Coturnix japonica: one gene and its partners. The protein of the gene in region 1 binds, or shares a complex with, the protein of each later gene. Links are inferred from orthologs where the notes say so. Each region holds a gene or a part of one and is shown in the gene's direction. Other genes may lie near its edges.

The links.
Region 2: the proteins of MAPK1 (region 1) and DHPS are in contact, whole or in part, in a cryo-EM structure (PDB 8PVU), measured with the Homo sapiens proteins. The link is inferred for Coturnix japonica from reciprocal best matches to the Homo sapiens genes MAPK1 and DHPS. Residues at the interface, in NP_002736.3 of Homo sapiens: Tyr113, Tyr187, Ala189, Thr190, Arg191, Trp192, Arg225, Lys231, His232, Tyr233, Leu234, His239, Lys259; in NP_001921.1 of Homo sapiens: Arg159, Glu160, Asn161, Asn164, Asn173, Glu174, Tyr176, Cys177, Glu180, Asp181, Met184, Asp188, Asp243, Phe247, Tyr250.
Region 3: the proteins of MAPK1 (region 1) and PTPN7 are in contact, whole or in part, in a crystal structure (PDB 3D42), measured with the Homo sapiens proteins. The link is inferred for Coturnix japonica from reciprocal best matches to the Homo sapiens genes MAPK1 and PTPN7. Residues at the interface, in NP_002736.3 of Homo sapiens: Thr185, Glu186, Tyr187, Val188; in NP_001351807.1 of Homo sapiens: Arg124, Tyr125, Lys126, Ile128, Asp257, His258, Ser292, Ala293, Gly294, Ile295, Gly296, Arg297, Gln335.
Region 4: the proteins of MAPK1 (region 1) and DUSP6 are in contact, whole or in part, in a crystal structure (PDB 2FYS), measured with the Rattus norvegicus proteins. The link is inferred for Coturnix japonica from reciprocal best matches to the Homo sapiens genes MAPK1 and DUSP6. Residues at the interface, in NP_446294.1 of Rattus norvegicus: Glu79, Glu107, Thr108, Leu113, Gln117, Leu119, Asp122, His123, Tyr126, Phe127, Gln130, Thr157, Thr158, Cys159, Asp160, Tyr314, Asp316, Asp319; in NP_446335.1 of Rattus norvegicus: Arg64, Arg65, Leu66, Gln67, Lys68, Gly69, Asn70, Leu71, Pro72, Val73, Arg74.

The regions. Positions count from the first base shown.
Region 1 is NC_029530.1:397,288-400,847, forward strand, and holds part of MAPK1 (mitogen-activated protein kinase 1), read left to right. Parts: intron 1-1,528; coding exon 1,529-1,711; intron 1,712-3,269; coding exon 3,270-3,459; intron 3,460-3,560. UniProt on the Homo sapiens protein: Serine/threonine kinase which acts as an essential component of the MAP kinase signal transduction pathway. MAPK1/ERK2 and MAPK3/ERK1 are the 2 MAPKs which play an important role in the MAPK/ERK cascade.
Region 2 is NW_015439889.1:91,920-96,183, forward strand, and holds the start of DHPS (deoxyhypusine synthase), read left to right. Parts: upstream 1-1,417; 5' UTR 1,418-1,453; coding exon 1,454-1,699; intron 1,700-2,342; coding exon 2,343-2,507; intron 2,508-3,043; coding exon 3,044-3,165; intron 3,166-3,250; coding exon 3,251-3,347; intron 3,348-3,421; coding exon 3,422-3,508; intron 3,509-3,607; coding exon 3,608-3,713; intron 3,714-3,787; coding exon 3,788-3,891; intron 3,892-3,973; coding exon 3,974-4,099; intron 4,100-4,170; coding exon 4,171-4,264. UniProt on the Homo sapiens protein: Catalyzes the NAD-dependent oxidative cleavage of spermidine and the subsequent transfer of the butylamine moiety of spermidine to the epsilon-amino group of a critical lysine residue of the eIF-5A precursor protein to form the intermediate deoxyhypusine residue.
Region 3 is NC_029541.1:737,160-740,454, reverse strand, and holds part of PTPN7 (tyrosine-protein phosphatase non-receptor type 7), read left to right. Parts: intron 1-903; exon of another isoform or gene 904-937; 5' UTR 938-998; coding exon 999-1,129; intron 1,130-1,242; coding exon 1,243-1,426; intron 1,427-1,685; coding exon 1,686-1,770; intron 1,771-2,162; coding exon 2,163-2,239; intron 2,240-2,918; coding exon 2,919-3,056; intron 3,057-3,295. UniProt on the Homo sapiens protein: Protein phosphatase that acts preferentially on tyrosine-phosphorylated MAPK1. Plays a role in the regulation of T and B-lymphocyte development and signal transduction.
Region 4 is NC_029516.1:39,390,556-39,394,662, reverse strand, and holds the start of DUSP6 (dual specificity protein phosphatase 6), read left to right. Parts: upstream 1-1,262; 5' UTR 1,263-1,838; coding exon 1,839-2,241; intron 2,242-2,686; coding exon 2,687-3,124; intron 3,125-4,107. UniProt on the Homo sapiens protein: Dual specificity protein phosphatase, which mediates dephosphorylation and inactivation of MAP kinases. Has a specificity for the ERK family. Plays an important role in alleviating chronic postoperative pain.

The DNA.
Region 1 (3,560 bases):
GTCACCTACTTTTCGTAGCTCCTGCCTGATACGTGGTGGTTCTTCACATAGGCTCCAGTCAATACAAAGAAGAGAGTAAGCTTGTTTAAAACAATCAAATAATCTATAAGACTCCTTTGTTTTATTCCCAAGTACAGGCTGTTTGTGCTTAAGAGTTTCTAGCTCTGTTTTCTGCTGGTGACTTCCCGTTCTGGCCTGCTGGAAACACCCCATCAGCTCAGAGAGCAGCCGCTGGGGAGGTGGTGTTTTGTTGTTTGGTTTGGGACTTGTGGGCTGCTGATGTGTTGGATACACATATGTACTAACAGCAGGTGTCATGAATGCTTAGTGCAGGGAATTCTGGAGCACGTGTGGAGCACTGGAGTTCAGTGTTGCCAGAGGCATGTAACATTTGCATGTGGTCTGTGCTTATAGATGAGTTACAGGTCTGAGCAGGTCAAAGTGATTCTGGGAGGAGGGAGAAGTAAAAGGGGTGTATTTTCTTGTGAAATGGCTGAGGCCAATAAATGTGAAGTATGGGCTTGATAAGCATTTTTAAAGAATTCTGGAGATTGCAGTAGCGAATAAGAAGAAATTTGAAAGGAATAAGAAATCATGAACACATTTAAATTCTAATTATATTAAAAGCATATGGTAATGTAATTAAAGAGAAATTATTATAATAATTGCCATTCATATAAACAAGACCTTAAAGAACATCCTGGAACAGCCGTGTAACCATTCTTTCCTTTTCACTCAGTAATAACTTGAGGCTGTGGTTTGGAGAGCTGTGCTTCCGCAGAACCTCATGGCTGGGCTGGGGCAGTGACGTTCCCTGGGAGTGGGTGGGAATTCAGAGCAGGAGGCCGGAGCTCCTGTGTTGGTGTAGCTCTGAGTGCTGCCCTGTGCTTCTTACTTTGGCGTGCTCTCAGTGTGGCCTTGGTGTGTTTGCTGATGCTGGGCACCATCACGTGCTGCGGCACAGCACTGCTCCTTGCTTTCGCTAAATGAGGGTGTTTATTTTCTGGAACTGTTGTCTTTGGAATTGAAATGGGAGGAGTCCTCACAAGTTCCCCATTCCCTTGTTCATGGAGGTGCAGAAAATGCAGTTCAGTGGAGGAGTGAGATGTGGGGTAGGATTCTGCTGCTTGAAAGACGACTTCTGAGAGCGTTTCCAAAGTGAATGGGTTTGCCGAGGATTCACTTCTTGCCTAAAATTGCTTCTTGATCACAGTGTACAAGAAAAGAGTCAAACTTACTTTTTCCACGGGGTGATGAAGGAGGTGAACGTGCCTGTCTTTGTTCAGGTCCTTGGGATTCGGCAGACTAAAAGTTGGCTGCCAAAGGTCATGACTTGTAGGTACCCAAATATGTTGAAGAAAAATATTGTTGCGGTGTCATCAAATTAAAAGATACTTGTACTGTCTCCTTCATTTGATAAAAATAAATGTAAAAACAAGTGGGCAGTCTCTGTGTTCTGTAGAATTAGCATTCTTGCTTTCTTAATCGAATGGATAAATTTTAACATGTATTATTTATTCTGTTCTAGTTCTGCCTATGATAACGTCAACAAGGTTCGAGTTGCTATAAAGAAAATCAGTCCTTTTGAGCATCAGACGTACTGCCAGAGAACTCTGAGAGAGATAAAGATCTTACTGCGCTTCAGGCATGAGAATATTATCGGAATAAATGATATTATCAGAGCTCCAACTATTGAACAAATGAAAGATGTGTATCCTTTCAAAATCTGTTATGCTTAGTGATACCTCCTTCTCTGCTTTCCTCAATTCGTCCTTATCCTTACTAAATTTTAATAAGCTGGCTTTTATTATTTTAAACAGGAGTGGAAGTTTGTAGTGTTTGATGGATTTGCCAGTGTGTTAGTAGGTAGGTTTGGTGCCTGGGTGAGTGTCAGTTTTGTTTGGGTTTTTCCACATTTAAAAAAAATATTCCAAGGCAAAGAACTCAGTGTTCATTTAGACCAGTCAGTCTTTGAACTACAGTCACTTTATGCAGAACCTTTGTTACAACTATCAGGTTGCTTCAAGGAGAAAATGGAATGGTAAAGCTCTGCTGTAACTGTCTAAGATTTTCCTAACGAATGGAAAGGATCCATTTTGGGGGAGGGGATAAATGAGGCCAAACATCCCTCCCCCCTTACTCTAGCCCTGCAATGCTTCTTGCATGTATGAAGTCTGAAATGACACACGAGCTGGTAAATGTGTGCTCGTTGTTGGCTTCATGTGTCTGTCTAACCTTGTGGCTGTCACAGCTGAGAGGCTCTGCCTGTGATACCAACCTTAGTTTGGAGTCAACTCGCATCATTTCACTAAGTCTGTATATCTAGTTTCCTGTTGGCTTCCCAGATTTTCACAGATGTCTGCCTGTTTAAAAGCACAGGGCATTGAACTGAATCTGGGTCAAATGTTCTCACTTCGTTAATTAGCAGTGTGCTTTTTCAGCTCAGTCTTCTGTGGCCACTGGCTGCTGTCAGTGTGTGCTCTTGAAAAGGTGTCCTGGTTGTGTGGTGTGATCTGAGCATGCAAAGGATGGGATGGAAATGCCCAGCTGAGACGGCAGTAGAAGTGTTTGGTGTTTGGGGCTGTGGGTTTGTTAGTTTTTTTTAATCCTGTTTTGGTGGAAAACGGTCATGGAACTACGCCCCAGGAGTTCTGGAGCTGAGTTGAATTAAAGGAAAGGAAATTTTTGGCTCAATTCATTTTTGTCAAAGCAGAATAAAACCCTTTATGTTAATTTCAGTCTTGGGAAAGAAAATATGATGGAAGGTACTACGATTTAATTTGAGCACAAATAGTCCTTTGCTTACCAGTATAGCATGATAAACATGTAGTAAAGGAGAGCATTTTGAAAGTGCCAGAGACAGATCAGAAGTGATTGGATTTTCCACCTTGAAGCTTTTGTGCAGCAGGAAGCAAATATCTTGGCTTATTACTCATGAAATGAAAACAACTTCTATTTCTTGGCAAGCAGGATAGAAAGCATTAACTGTAAGATTCCAATATAGATTAGTCTCTAATGTAAGGAAATAGTTTGATTATCTTGGGGGGACCACATGCTGGTGCCTCTTAATTCTCTAAGGGTCTCTATCATGTATCAGGATTGATTTGATTAGAAGTCCGTAAAGCAAGTAGTTCCAATTGTTGTGAAGCAAATAGAAGAAGACAAAAAACAAAAAACAAAAAGGTGTTAGAAGTTTTGTTTGGTACTGGGGGTTAATATGTAACATGCCACCAGCTTTGTTTTGCTGCCTTACATCTGATGCCTTACAGATACATTGTGCAAGACCTTATGGAAACAGATCTTTACAAGCTCTTAAAGACTCAACACCTCAGCAACGACCACATTTGTTATTTCCTTTACCAGATTCTGAGAGGGTTAAAATATATCCATTCAGCCAATGTGCTTCATCGTGACCTCAAACCTTCAAATTTGCTGCTTAACACCACTTGTGATCTCAAGGTTAGTGGAAATTTCTTAAAAATGTTCCTATGGTCTTCATCAGCTACATAACTGCTATAACTGAACTACTATGAATGTGATAGAGCTATTGGGGATTAATG
Region 2 (4,264 bases), on another chromosome or scaffold:
GCGCTGGCAGCCGATGACCGTCTCATCGTATCTGGGAGTGAAGACCGAACCCTGGTGGTCATCGACCGCCGTGCTGACGGCATCCTGCAGCGCCTGCAGGTGGGGCTGACCCCCAAGTGTGGGGCTGGGGGCTCCATCCGCCTCACATTATTCACGCCTTGGGGGCTGATAATCAATGTTTGAAGGCTGGATTTGGGGTTTGGGGTGCAGCACTGTTCCCCATCCCACTTTCTCCCCACAATGTTGCAGCACCGCTTGCCCCATAAGCCCGTGTTTTGCCCCACAGCTGCAGCATTACCTCCTCTCCATGTCATATCGGGGGACGCAACTCTGGGCTGGGGACAACCAGGGCCGGGTCCACGTCTTCGGGAACAGCGACGGCCACTTCCGAGCGGAGCGGGTATAAAGCCACATATAGGGCTGGGAGGGGGGTCTTTGGGGCCGTACCCCTCCCCTCAATGCCCCCATTGCAGCGCTTCGACGTGGGACACCGCCTGCAGATCACGGGGCTGTGGCAGAATGCAGGATCTTTGTACACCACCTCCACCGACCGCACCATGCGGGTGAGGGACCCCAACCTCACGTGGCGACCCCCCCACCCCACACTGGGATTGAGGGGTTGGGTTGTGTGAGGCTGGCGAGGTGCCTCCCCCCCAATTCCCATAATATCTTAATGGGGGGAGGAAGAAATGGCGTCTCTCTGTTACAGATCCACGTCCCCACGGACCCCCCCCGCACCATCTGCTCCTGGACGCACGATGATGTTCTCAATGGGGTAAGGGCTGGGGTCACATTTTCCCTCCTGGACGCCCCGTTGTTCCCACCCTCTCCTGATCTCCACCATTTCCCCCAGATCAGCGTCGAGGGCGACGTGGTGGCAGCTGCCTCCGGGGGGCTCTCGGTGGAGGTCTGGAAGTTTGGAGGCTGAATGTGGCTGTGACCCCCCCCAGGAATGGGGGCTTTGCCCCTCAACCCTCCTCCCCCCTTCCCATGGCCAGAGATGGGGACCCCCTGGGGGGCAGAGGGGTCCCAATGGACTCAGAGGGGCCCGTTGTGCAGGAATTAAAGGGATTTGGCTGGAGGTGTGTGGCTGTGGTGTGTCTTTGTGGGGCAGAGTGGGGTCAGGATGTGGGGGGGTTTGGGGTCAGGATGTGGGGGGGTTTGGGGTCAGGATGGGGGGGTTTGGGGTCAGGATGGGGGGGTTTGGGGTCAGGGTTTGGAATTGTGGGGGTTAGGAGTGGGCCTAGATTCGGGGATTGGGATTTAGAGGCAGATTACGGCGGGATTTGGGGTTTAAGAGGTTCAGGGTTTGGGTTTTCGACAGAGCTCTCCACCGTTTGACGCTTCGCTTTCTGGCGCCTTTTGACCCACTGCGGCCACCGTTTCCTCTTCAAGATGGCGGCGCTCCGACGTACTGCGCCTCCACCGCGCAGGCGCAGGGGGGCGGCCCAAGATGGCGGCGCCCATGGGGCCCACGGAGCTCAGCGGCCCCGCGGAGGAGCCGCCGTCGGGGGAAGCCCCGGCCGCCGCCCTGCACGCGGTGCTGAAGCGCAGCGCCCCGCTCCCCGCTCAGACGCTCCCGGTTCGCGGATACGACTTCGCGGACGGCCCCGACCCGGGCGCGGTGCTGCGCTCGTTTCTCACCACCGGGTTCCAGGCCACGAACTTCGCGCGCGCCGTCGCCGAGATCCGCCGCATGGTGCGGGGGGGCGGCACCGGCACCCCCCCCCCTTACCGGATCCGTCCCCCCCTTACCGGTTCCATTATCCCCCCTTACCGGTTCCATTACCACCCCCTTACCGGTTCCGTTTCCCCCCGCCTTTACCGGATCCATTATCTCCCCCCTTACCGGTTCCGTTTCCCCCTTACGGTTCCATTATCCCCTACCCGGATTCCATTATCTCCCCCCTTACCGTCCATTATCGGCCCCTTACCGGTTCCATATCACCCCCCCTTACGCTGGATCCATTACCTCCTTACCTGATCCATTATCCCCCCTTACGGTTCGCATTTCCCGCGCCCTTATCGGGTCTATTATCTCCCGTAATACGTTCCATTACCCCCCTTACCGTTCCCATAGTCCCCCTCTTCACCGGTTCCGTTTTCCCGCCCCCTTAACTGAATCATTATCCCTGCCTCTGTACCGGTTTCCGTTTCCCTACCCCCTACCGGATCGCATTAATCCCCCCTCTTACCGGTTCCGTTTTCCCCCCCTTACCGGAATTTTTCCCCAAAATTTTTTTACCCCCCCTTACCGCGGATCCATTACCCCCCCTTACCGGTTCCATTACCCCCCTTTACCGGTTCCGTTTCCCCCCCCCTTACCCGGTTCCGTCCCGTAGATCGCTGCCAAGATGGAGCCGCTGAGCGCTGCTGAGCGCAGCCGGGCTGAGCTGGGGGGCGCCGCGGGGGCGGCTTCGGGCTGCACCATCTTCCTGGGCTTCACCTCCAACCTCATCAGCTCCGGGGTGCGGGAGAGCATCCGCTTCCTCGTGCAGCACCGCATGGTACGGGGGCAACGGGGGTAACGGGGGTAACGGGGGGTAACGGGGGGTAACGGGGATACAGGGTGATATGGGGGGGGGTCCTCAGTTTGTTAGCCACCCCCCCAGTCAATTGCTGGGGTCCTGGGGGAGCTCACAGAGGGGTCCTGGGGTACAGAGATGGGGTAGAGAGTTGTGGGGGGTTCCTCACATTGTTGAGCCCCCTCCCCAACCCTCGGGGGTGGTAACGGGGTCCTGGGGCACCTTGGGGCAGTGTGTGATGGTACGGGGGGACTGCGGGGAGGCTGTGGGTGTGGTTTTGGGGGAGGGGGTTGGAGCCTGGGGGTTCCCCTCTGATGTGGGTGGGGGGTCCTGGGGTCCCTGTGGTGTCCCAGTGTCCCCAGGGGTTCTAGGGGTCCCTGACGTGTCCCCAGGGGTCTCTATGCTGCCCCCAGTGCTTTGGGGCCGCACTGGTCTCAGTACCTTGGGGGAGGGGGTCTTCAGCGCTGGCCCTGAGGGCTCCCTGAGCCCCCCCCCCACTCTTGCCCCCCTCTGGGCAGGTGGATGTGGTGGTGACAACAGCGGGCGGTGTGGAGGAGGACCTCATTAAATGCCTGGCACCCACCTACGTGGGGGACTTCAGTCTGCGGGGCCGGGAGCTGCGGCAGAACGGCATCAACCGGTGTGGGGACACCCGGGGGGAGAGGAAACCGGGGGGGGGATGTATGGGGGGGTATGAAGATGTCTGAGCACAACCCTCCCCCCAGGATTGGAAACCTGCTGGTGCCCAATGATAACTACTGCAAGTTTGAGGATTGGCTGATGCCCATCTTGGATCAGATGGTGGAGGAGCAGGAGACAGAGGTGGAGCTGGGAGGTGTGGGGGGGAACGTGGGGTCACTGGGGGGTGGATGTGGGGTCACCTGTGGGTCCCACAGGGCGTGAGGTGGACGCCATCACGGATGATCGCACGTTTGGGGAAGGAAATCAACAACCCCGAGTCAGTGTGTTACTGGGCTCAGAAGGTATGGGGGCATCTCTGCCAGCGTCTATCCTGGGGGGGGGGTCCCCACACTCCCATGGGGGTCCCCGTGCTCCCCTGTTGTCACCACATCCTCCCCCAGAACAACATCCCGGTGCTGAGCCCAGCGCTCACTGACGGCTCTTTGGGGGATATGATCTTCTTCCACTCCTACAAACACCCGGGGTTGGTGCTGGACATCGTGGAAGGTGAGTTTTTTCCCCATGGTGGGGGGGGGGATGACAGCAGGACCCCTCCTGGTGACAGCTGTACCCCCCCACAGACCTAAGGCTCATCAACACGAGGGCCATCTTTGCCCGCAAGACAGGGATGATCATCCTGGGGGGGGGACTGGTAAAACACCACATCGCCAACGCCAACCTGATGGTGAGGGGGGGGCTGTGGGGAGGGGGATTAGGGGGGCTGGCAACTGGGGACAGTGCCCTCATTGTGCTCCCTCTCCTTGCAGAGGAACGGTGCCGATTTCTCCGTCTATGTGAACACAGCTCAGGAGTTTGATGGGTCTGACTCTGGGGCGCAGCCGGATGAGGCTGTTTCGTGGGGGAAGATCCGAATGGACGCCACGCCAGTGAAGGTGAGGGCACAGGGAGGGGGTTTGGGGGGTGCTGGGGGGGACGCGAGGGTCTCCCTCTCCCTCTCCTGCAGGTCTATGCTGATGCTTCGCTGGTTTTTCCGCTGCTGGTGGCGGAGACGTTTGCACAGAGAGCAGCTGACTTCCCAGTGCCCACAGATGAGGACT
Region 3 (3,295 bases), on another chromosome or scaffold:
GTCCTCCTGAGTGACTTCAGCTCGGCTGGGGCCTCTCCCAGGTGTTTCCTGGGTGATACTGGGGTCCCGGCCTGCCGCTCCCAGCTATGAGGGGTGCCCATGGAGGACAGATGTGGGATCAGCCAGGATTTGACCCTGAGTGCTTCATTTCGTGCCCCGATGTGTTCCCACCCTGTACAGCCATGGCCATGCTGTGATCCTACCTGCCCCAGCCCCAGCTTCATCTGTGCCCAGTTCTCTGCAGGGCTGTCCCTGAGCCTCCAGGGCATTTGGTACCCTGCTCTGTGCCTACTGAGAGCTCTGACCTTGCAGCATCTCCATCCCATTGGGTCCATCTCTCCTCACAGAGGAAGCTGGGGAGGAGAAGGAACTTTGCCACCCTGAGCTGCTGCCTTCACCATGGGGACCTCTACCCGAAGAAGAACCAGCATCACCCCCATCTCCCTGCCAGGGGCTGCTTGGGGCTGCTGGTGGTGGAGTCCTGGCAGCCTCCTCTAGACAAACCACCCCATCACATCTTGCTCAACCATTCAGATAGAGCAGTTTCCTCTTAACAGTTTGCTGATACTTGTGGGATGCAGGAGACTGTCCCAGGGCTATTTCCCCCATCCCAGTATGTCCAAACAATAGGATCTGGCCATGACCCTCACAACGTCCTCCTCTGCTCCTCATCCCTGGGGTCTGCTGCTCTCCATGTTAAGATGGAGATGCCATCCCAACCCATCCAACCCAAAGTTCCTTCCTCCTGGTGCTACAGGCACTTTCTCTGTGCCACCCGCGGATGCTGGAGCCAGGGCAATGAGGACCCAAAACACTTCCCCTGCTTAGGGATTTTCTCATTCTGGTCCAGCGAGGGGTTCACCAGCCTCCTTGTGTCTCTCTCATCTGCCCTGTGTTTTCCAGACACTTCTCTGATGGCAACTTCTTCCCTCAGCAGCTGAGGCCCCCCCTTTTCCACTGCTCGTACTTCAGAGCAAGTGCTTCGTGGCTGCTGCAGCATGGTCCAAGCCTGCACAGTGTGCCACAGAGCTCATAACAGCAGCCTGACAGCCCGGGTGGCCACCAAAACCATGGACAAGGCGGACAAGCCCAGTCCCTCTGTGAAGAAGCACGTACGGCTCCAGGAGAGGTGAGCACAGCCAGACTTTGCACTGCCCAGCCCTAAAGCACAGCCTCCCAAACTCCCCTTCTCTGGCCTATGAGCTGTCAGGGCTCACTGGGGACCCTTTGCCTCCTTTGCAGGAGGGGCTCCAACGTGTCGCTGGTGCTGGACATGAGCTCACTCGGCAGCGTGGAGCCCATCCAGCCCGTATGCACACCACGGGACATCACGCTGCAGTTCCTGAGGACATCCAGCCACGTGCTGAGGACAGAGGAGTTGCAACAGCGTGCCCAGAGCCTTGCACAGCTCCAGGAGGAGTTCTCGGTATGAGGGTGGGTGTGCAGGTGGAGGGGCACTGAGCATCTCCTGTTTGACAGCAACTTGCTCTCCATTGTGTTGGTGGAAAGCCTTCCTGTGCCAAGCTCTGCTCCCATCCATGAGGTGTCCCACCCCATTGGGGTGTGGATGGAGCTCACGCCAGCTCTGGTGATGCTGGGTCAGAGTCTCACTGCCTGCTGTGCCCGGTGAGGAGACACGAGCAGCACCAAGAGGGATTCCTCAAAGTTGTTCTCCCCTGCTGCAGAAAATCCCACCCAACTTCATCAGTCCGGAGGAGCTGGAGATCCCTGGACACGCCTCCAAGGACAGATACAAAACCATCCTCCCCAGTACGTGCCACTGCGTTCCTTCGTCTCACATTCCTCCATGTGCAGGGATATGTGTGTGCTGTGGGTGTCCCTGGTGTATCCTGGTGTCCCTGCTGTGCTGGTTCTGCTGCTGGCAGTTGCCTTGCAGGGGTGTAAGCCCAGCAATGGGGCAGTTTGTGGGGAGCTTCTTGGGGCATAAAGCACATCACAGGCCAGCCTGTGCTGATCCCTGCTCCATGTGGCCTTAAACATCCAAATTGGGAGGTGTAAAGGGTGAGAAATTGGGTCATCTTCAAGCACTGCGGGAAGGATGCAGGGGGCTGGTGCCGGCAGATGTGAGCATGGCATGGAGCTGGGTGGGAGAGCATGGCTCTGAAGGACAATCCCAGGGCACCTCTCACTGCCTCTTTCAGATCCTGAGAGCCGAGTGTGCCTCAGGAGGGCAGGGAGCCAGGAGGAAAACGGCTACATCAACGCCAACTACATCACGGTGAGCACACTGCCTGCTGGGGGGCACTTGGTGTCCCATATCTCATGGTACTGCAGGGCTGGGAGTGCTGGAGCTCTTGGTTTCTGCCCAGATAAGGTGTGTGGAGTGTGACATAGGCTGTGGAATATGGCTGAAGCTGGCTTACATTTAGCAGTGTGATTTTTGAGTGAGCAGAGCACTTGAACACGCTCCCTCCCAGATAATTCTCCATCGCCATGCACTAGTCAGTTGTCATGTGCAGGAAGCAAGCTGTGCCAATGGAGCACACCAGCCTGGTACCGACACATCCAGAAACTGCCTCTCCCCTCAGGGGGTTTGTTTCAATTCCCCAAAAAGAAAAAGGGGTGACTGTGGCTTATCTCCAGCATCCAATGAGGTCCCCAGATAGATGTCCCCAGACCCAAGGTGACTGTTGGTGTCCTCACAGCAATAACCTGGGGGTGCTTGGATGGAGCATGGGTGCACAGGACTCCATAGGCTTGCTCCTGGTTTGCTGGTCTAGGAGGATGGAGAGGACTCCTGGCAGTCCCTGGCTGGCTCTGTGAAAGGATTTCAAGGGCACGTTTGGGAGGAAATAGACAGTGTAGGTCAGGCTCTCTGCTGCAGAGGACAAGCAGAGCTGGGGGGCTGAGGTGCAGACCAGGTGCCCCCTGTCCCTGAAGGGCTGTGTGCTCGGCAGGGCTATGCAGGACGTCCCCGGGAGTACATTGCCACTCAGGGACCCATGCTGAACACCGTCAGTGACTTCTGGAGAATGGTGTGGCAGGAGCAATCTCCCATCATCGTCATGATAACCGAGCTCCAGGAGCGCAAGGAGGTACTGCTGTCCCTGCTCTACAGCACCCTGACCTGGAGGGGGTGGGTAGGGAGAATAACAGCAGCAGTGGGATGGTGTGAGATCAAAGGTGGGGCTGAGCTTTGCCCTCAGAGGGCACCTTCTTGGAGGAGAGTCCCTGGGCTGCAACTTGGACCCCATCTAGCAAAGCCTCCTCTTCTCCATCAACTTCACTTGCTCTGGATGTGCTTTGCTAGATGAATAATAGGATAAAAAGAAAC
Region 4 (4,107 bases), on another chromosome or scaffold:
AAACGTCACTGAAAATGCCCTGAAGATGACAATCAGAATGTATTTTCTTCCTAAAATATTATAGTCATCAAGGAGGCAAGTTTTCCTTATATGAATGTGGAAGCATTTGATAGAAATACACATCTACATATATCTTAGTTGAGATGATATTTTGATTGTTTTTTTCAAACCCAAACTCTGAAACACGACTCATCTTGTCTGTGGTGTTAAAAAAAGGAATCAATGCACACTGTAAGCCACGTCAATTAATAACATGGACTACGAACAGCAAATTGCATTTTATCATTGCATCGAGCCAGCTGGGACTTGCCACAGTGTTATACTGAAATTGTCTCCATCTCCATCTCTCGGGCCATCACTTGATATCACACTTGTTTGTTTTCTAGATGGACCTATTATTTTTACAGCGCCAGCTCCACAGAGTTGGCCGTCACAGCCAAACCATTTACCTGCGCTGAGCACAGCCAGCGCTCAGGGACGGGACAAGCTTTACAGAACGCTTTCCAGCCTTTCATCTTGGCAGCACGGGCTCTGTCACAACCCCGCTGCGGTGCCACCTTAGTGCCACGTCCCATCAGCATCACGCGTGCCGGCAGCGCGGGGAACGCGGCCGCCTTACGAGCGGGATTAGCCCCCGCGGAACGACGTTACCCCCGCGCCGGCAGCGGGATTAGCGTCCAGGCCGGGCTTCTCCCGGGTTATTTTCGCTGCTGGCTTTTCACTTACCCCCGCGGCTAAGCCGCTCCCGGTCTCGCCCCGCCGCGCCCCCACGTCCTTCCGCTGGCAGCGGCGGGCTGGGGGGCGCCGGGACCGCGTCCGCGGACGGCAGAGGGGCGGCACGACGCGGAAAGCCGGGGTGGGGGGGAAGCAGCGGGGCGAGCCGGGAGCTCACCCTGCGTGAGGATCAGCTGAGGACAGGGCCGGCAGCCCGCCCCTCGTGACAACGGAATCCCCCCTTCTTCCCCCCAGCGCCCTGGCTCGGAGCGGCGGTCGGGGGGGACGTGGGGCTGAGGGAAGGGGCGCGGGGGGCAGGAAGGGGGAAGGGGGCCAGGAAGGCGCCGCCGGAGCCCCGCGGAGAAGCGGCGGGGCCGGGCCCGGGCCGCGCCCCCTCACCTGCCCCCGCCGCCCCCACCCGCTGCGCCGCGGCCGCCGCTTGTTTGCACTCGGCTTATCCGGAGCGGAAATTCCTTTCCGTTTTTGTGAATGACAAACTCATTAACAATTCATCAACACAACCTGTTCCAGCCGGCCCGTCGCCGCGGCAACAGCCCCTTCCGCGAGCCCCCATTGGCTGCGCCTCAGAATGTCTCCATTGAGCGCGGCGAGGCCGAGCCCATTGAGAGCCGCTGGGTGAGAGGAGACAGCGCTCCGGGCAGCGCCGGCACCGGGGCGGGAGGGAGAGAGAGAGGGAGGGAGCAGCCCCGCTCTGCGCCGAGCCGGGCAGCTCCGCTCGGAGGCACGCTAATTGGATTTCATTCACTCAGGGCGGAGGAAAAGCCCAAGGGCTCGGGCTGCAGCGGCGATTAGGCAGGTTCATTCAGGGATTCATTGACAAAAAAAAAAAAGAGAGAGAACGGGCAGCAGGCAGCGCGCACGCACACGGAGCCGCACACACACACACATAGATAGACACACACAGACACACACACACGCAGCCGCTGCTCCCTCCCGTGGCTCCGCCGCCCGGCGCGGGGGAGGCGCGGGGGGGCTGCGTGATTCACTTCCCCGGGGCGGGGGGAGATAAGTTGTGCGGAGTTGCGGGGCCGCAGCCCGACCGCACGCCCCTGTGAGAGCGAGGGGCGCTTCCCGAGCCCGCTCTGCGCCCCCCGTCCTTCCTCATGCTAGATACGTTCAGACCCGTCTCTTTCGCGTCGGAAATGGCGATTAGTAAATCCGTGGCGTGGCTGAACGAACAGCTGGAGATGGGCAACGACCGGCTGCTGCTGATGGACTGCCGACCTCAGGAGTTGTACGAGTCGTCCCACATCGAGACGGCCATCAACCTGGCCATCCCCGGCCTGATGCTCCGCCGCCTCAAGAAGGGCAACCTGCCCCTGCGCGCCCTGGTCGCCAGCAGCGAGGAAGACCGCGAGCGCTTCGCCCGCCGTTGCGGCACCGATACGGTGGTGCTGTACGACGAGCACAGCCGCGACTGGAACGAGAACACGGGCGGCGAGTCCGTGCTGGGGCTGCTGCTCAAGCGTCTGAAAGACGAGGGCTGCAAGGCGTTCTATCTGGAAGGTGAGCGAGATTCTACGGTTCTGTCGGAAGGGACCGGGTGGGCCCGGGCACTGCGCGCTGATAACCCGGGTAGGGGCTTCTTCCTCTCCTCGCTTTGTTTAAAGGGGCCCCGGGGGCTGGAGGGCTGCGATGGGGAGCGGGAAGGACGGACAGACGGTCGAACAAGCGGACCGCCGTCCGCACAGCGCCCCGCAGCGCGGAGCGGCTCCGGGCTGTAATCCCGGGCGCTCTGAGCCTCACGCCGCAGCGGGAGATTTTGCTAAACCTTCATTTGGGTCAGTCAGTCCGTCTGCTGACACTGTGGCGTTTTCCTTTTTTTTTTTTGCCTGAGACTCGAGGAGGTGGGGAAACAGATGTCCCTTTGCACACTGAGCTCTCCCAGGCTTGCCGTGCTATATGTATATCTATCAGGTTGCGATTTTTTCCCTCTTGCTTTCCTCCCTAGGTGGTTTCAGTAAGTTCCAGGCCGAGTTTGCCCTGCACTGCGAAACGAACCTAGACAGCTCATGTAGCAGCAGCTCCCCTCCTCTGCCCGTCTTGGGCTTGGGAGGCCTTCGAATCAGCTCAGATTCTTCATCGGACATCGAGTCTGACATTGACAGAGACCCCAATAGTGCCACCGACTCGGATGGCAGCCCGCTCTCCACGAACCAGCCTTCCTTTCCCGTGGAGATCTTACCCTACCTCTACTTGGGCTGTGCCAAGGACTCCACGAACCTGGACGTTTTAGAAGAGTTTGGCATAAAATACATCTTGAATGTTACCCCCAACCTGCCCAACCTCTTTGAAAACGCCGGCGAGTTCAAGTACAAGCAGATCCCCATCTCAGACCACTGGAGCCAAAACCTGTCTCAGTTCTTCCCCGAGGCCATCTCCTTTATAGGTGAGACCCTGTTCTTTGCCAGCAGCTCCGTGGTGAGCAGCAGAACCCCCCTATGCCTTTCTCAGAAATCAAACAGATTTCGGGTGAGAAGCGGGAGCAGCGTTTCTCCCAGTCTCTGGGGGATGATGCTCCGCTTTCTGATCTTTAATTTCATTTATTTATTTATTTATTTATTTATTTAAGCCGGCTTAAAGGGGTGAAGGTTTGTTGAGGGGAAGTGTGCCTTGTGCAGGCTGCAGCTGCATACCTGGCCTGGTGCTGGGAATTCCTCTCTGAGCCGCCTGAGTGGAAGCTGGGGACTGAGCAGTGCTCAGGATGGGGTTATTTTTAAATCTCCTCTTAGGGGAGAGGGATAAGGCAAATGAGCCCCGAGCTGGTGGTGGCTTATACGTCTTTTGTTGTTTCGTTGGCTTTTTTTTTTTCTCTTGCTTTTTTCTTTTTTTTCTTTTTCCCTTTCTTGAGGTTACTGGAGAGCAGCATAATGAAAAGAAACATTCCGGGGATCTAAGTTTAGCTTTTAAATGCAAGTTACTCATAACTGGCAAATGTATAGTAAGGGCTTTAATTAAATCCCACGGTAATAATGATCTACCTCTCGGGCGCCGTGCCCCGGCCCTGTGCCGCTATCCGCCGGCTCTGGGAACGCTCTCCCGTGGGTTCGAAGCGTCCGCTTTCGCCTCCCCGTCAGCTGGGGGAGGGCTGAGATCGGGGTGCGGTGGGGTGAGCACCGTATTATCTGTTGGGAAGCTGTGCTGTAATCCGGTTGAATGATACCGGTAATAGTGGAGAATGTAGGTAATCTGAGCCCAGCAGGAAGAAATGTGGGCTGGAAGCCACAAAGAAACTAATCTCCAGGCATTGTAATGCATTTCCTATTTCAAAGGAACCCATTTTCAACCAATGTTGACATCCTGTTCCTCCTAATGGGCTGTCCCCTGTGACTTCCCTCATTCTTTTTAAATGCCTGAATACCTCCATTGTTA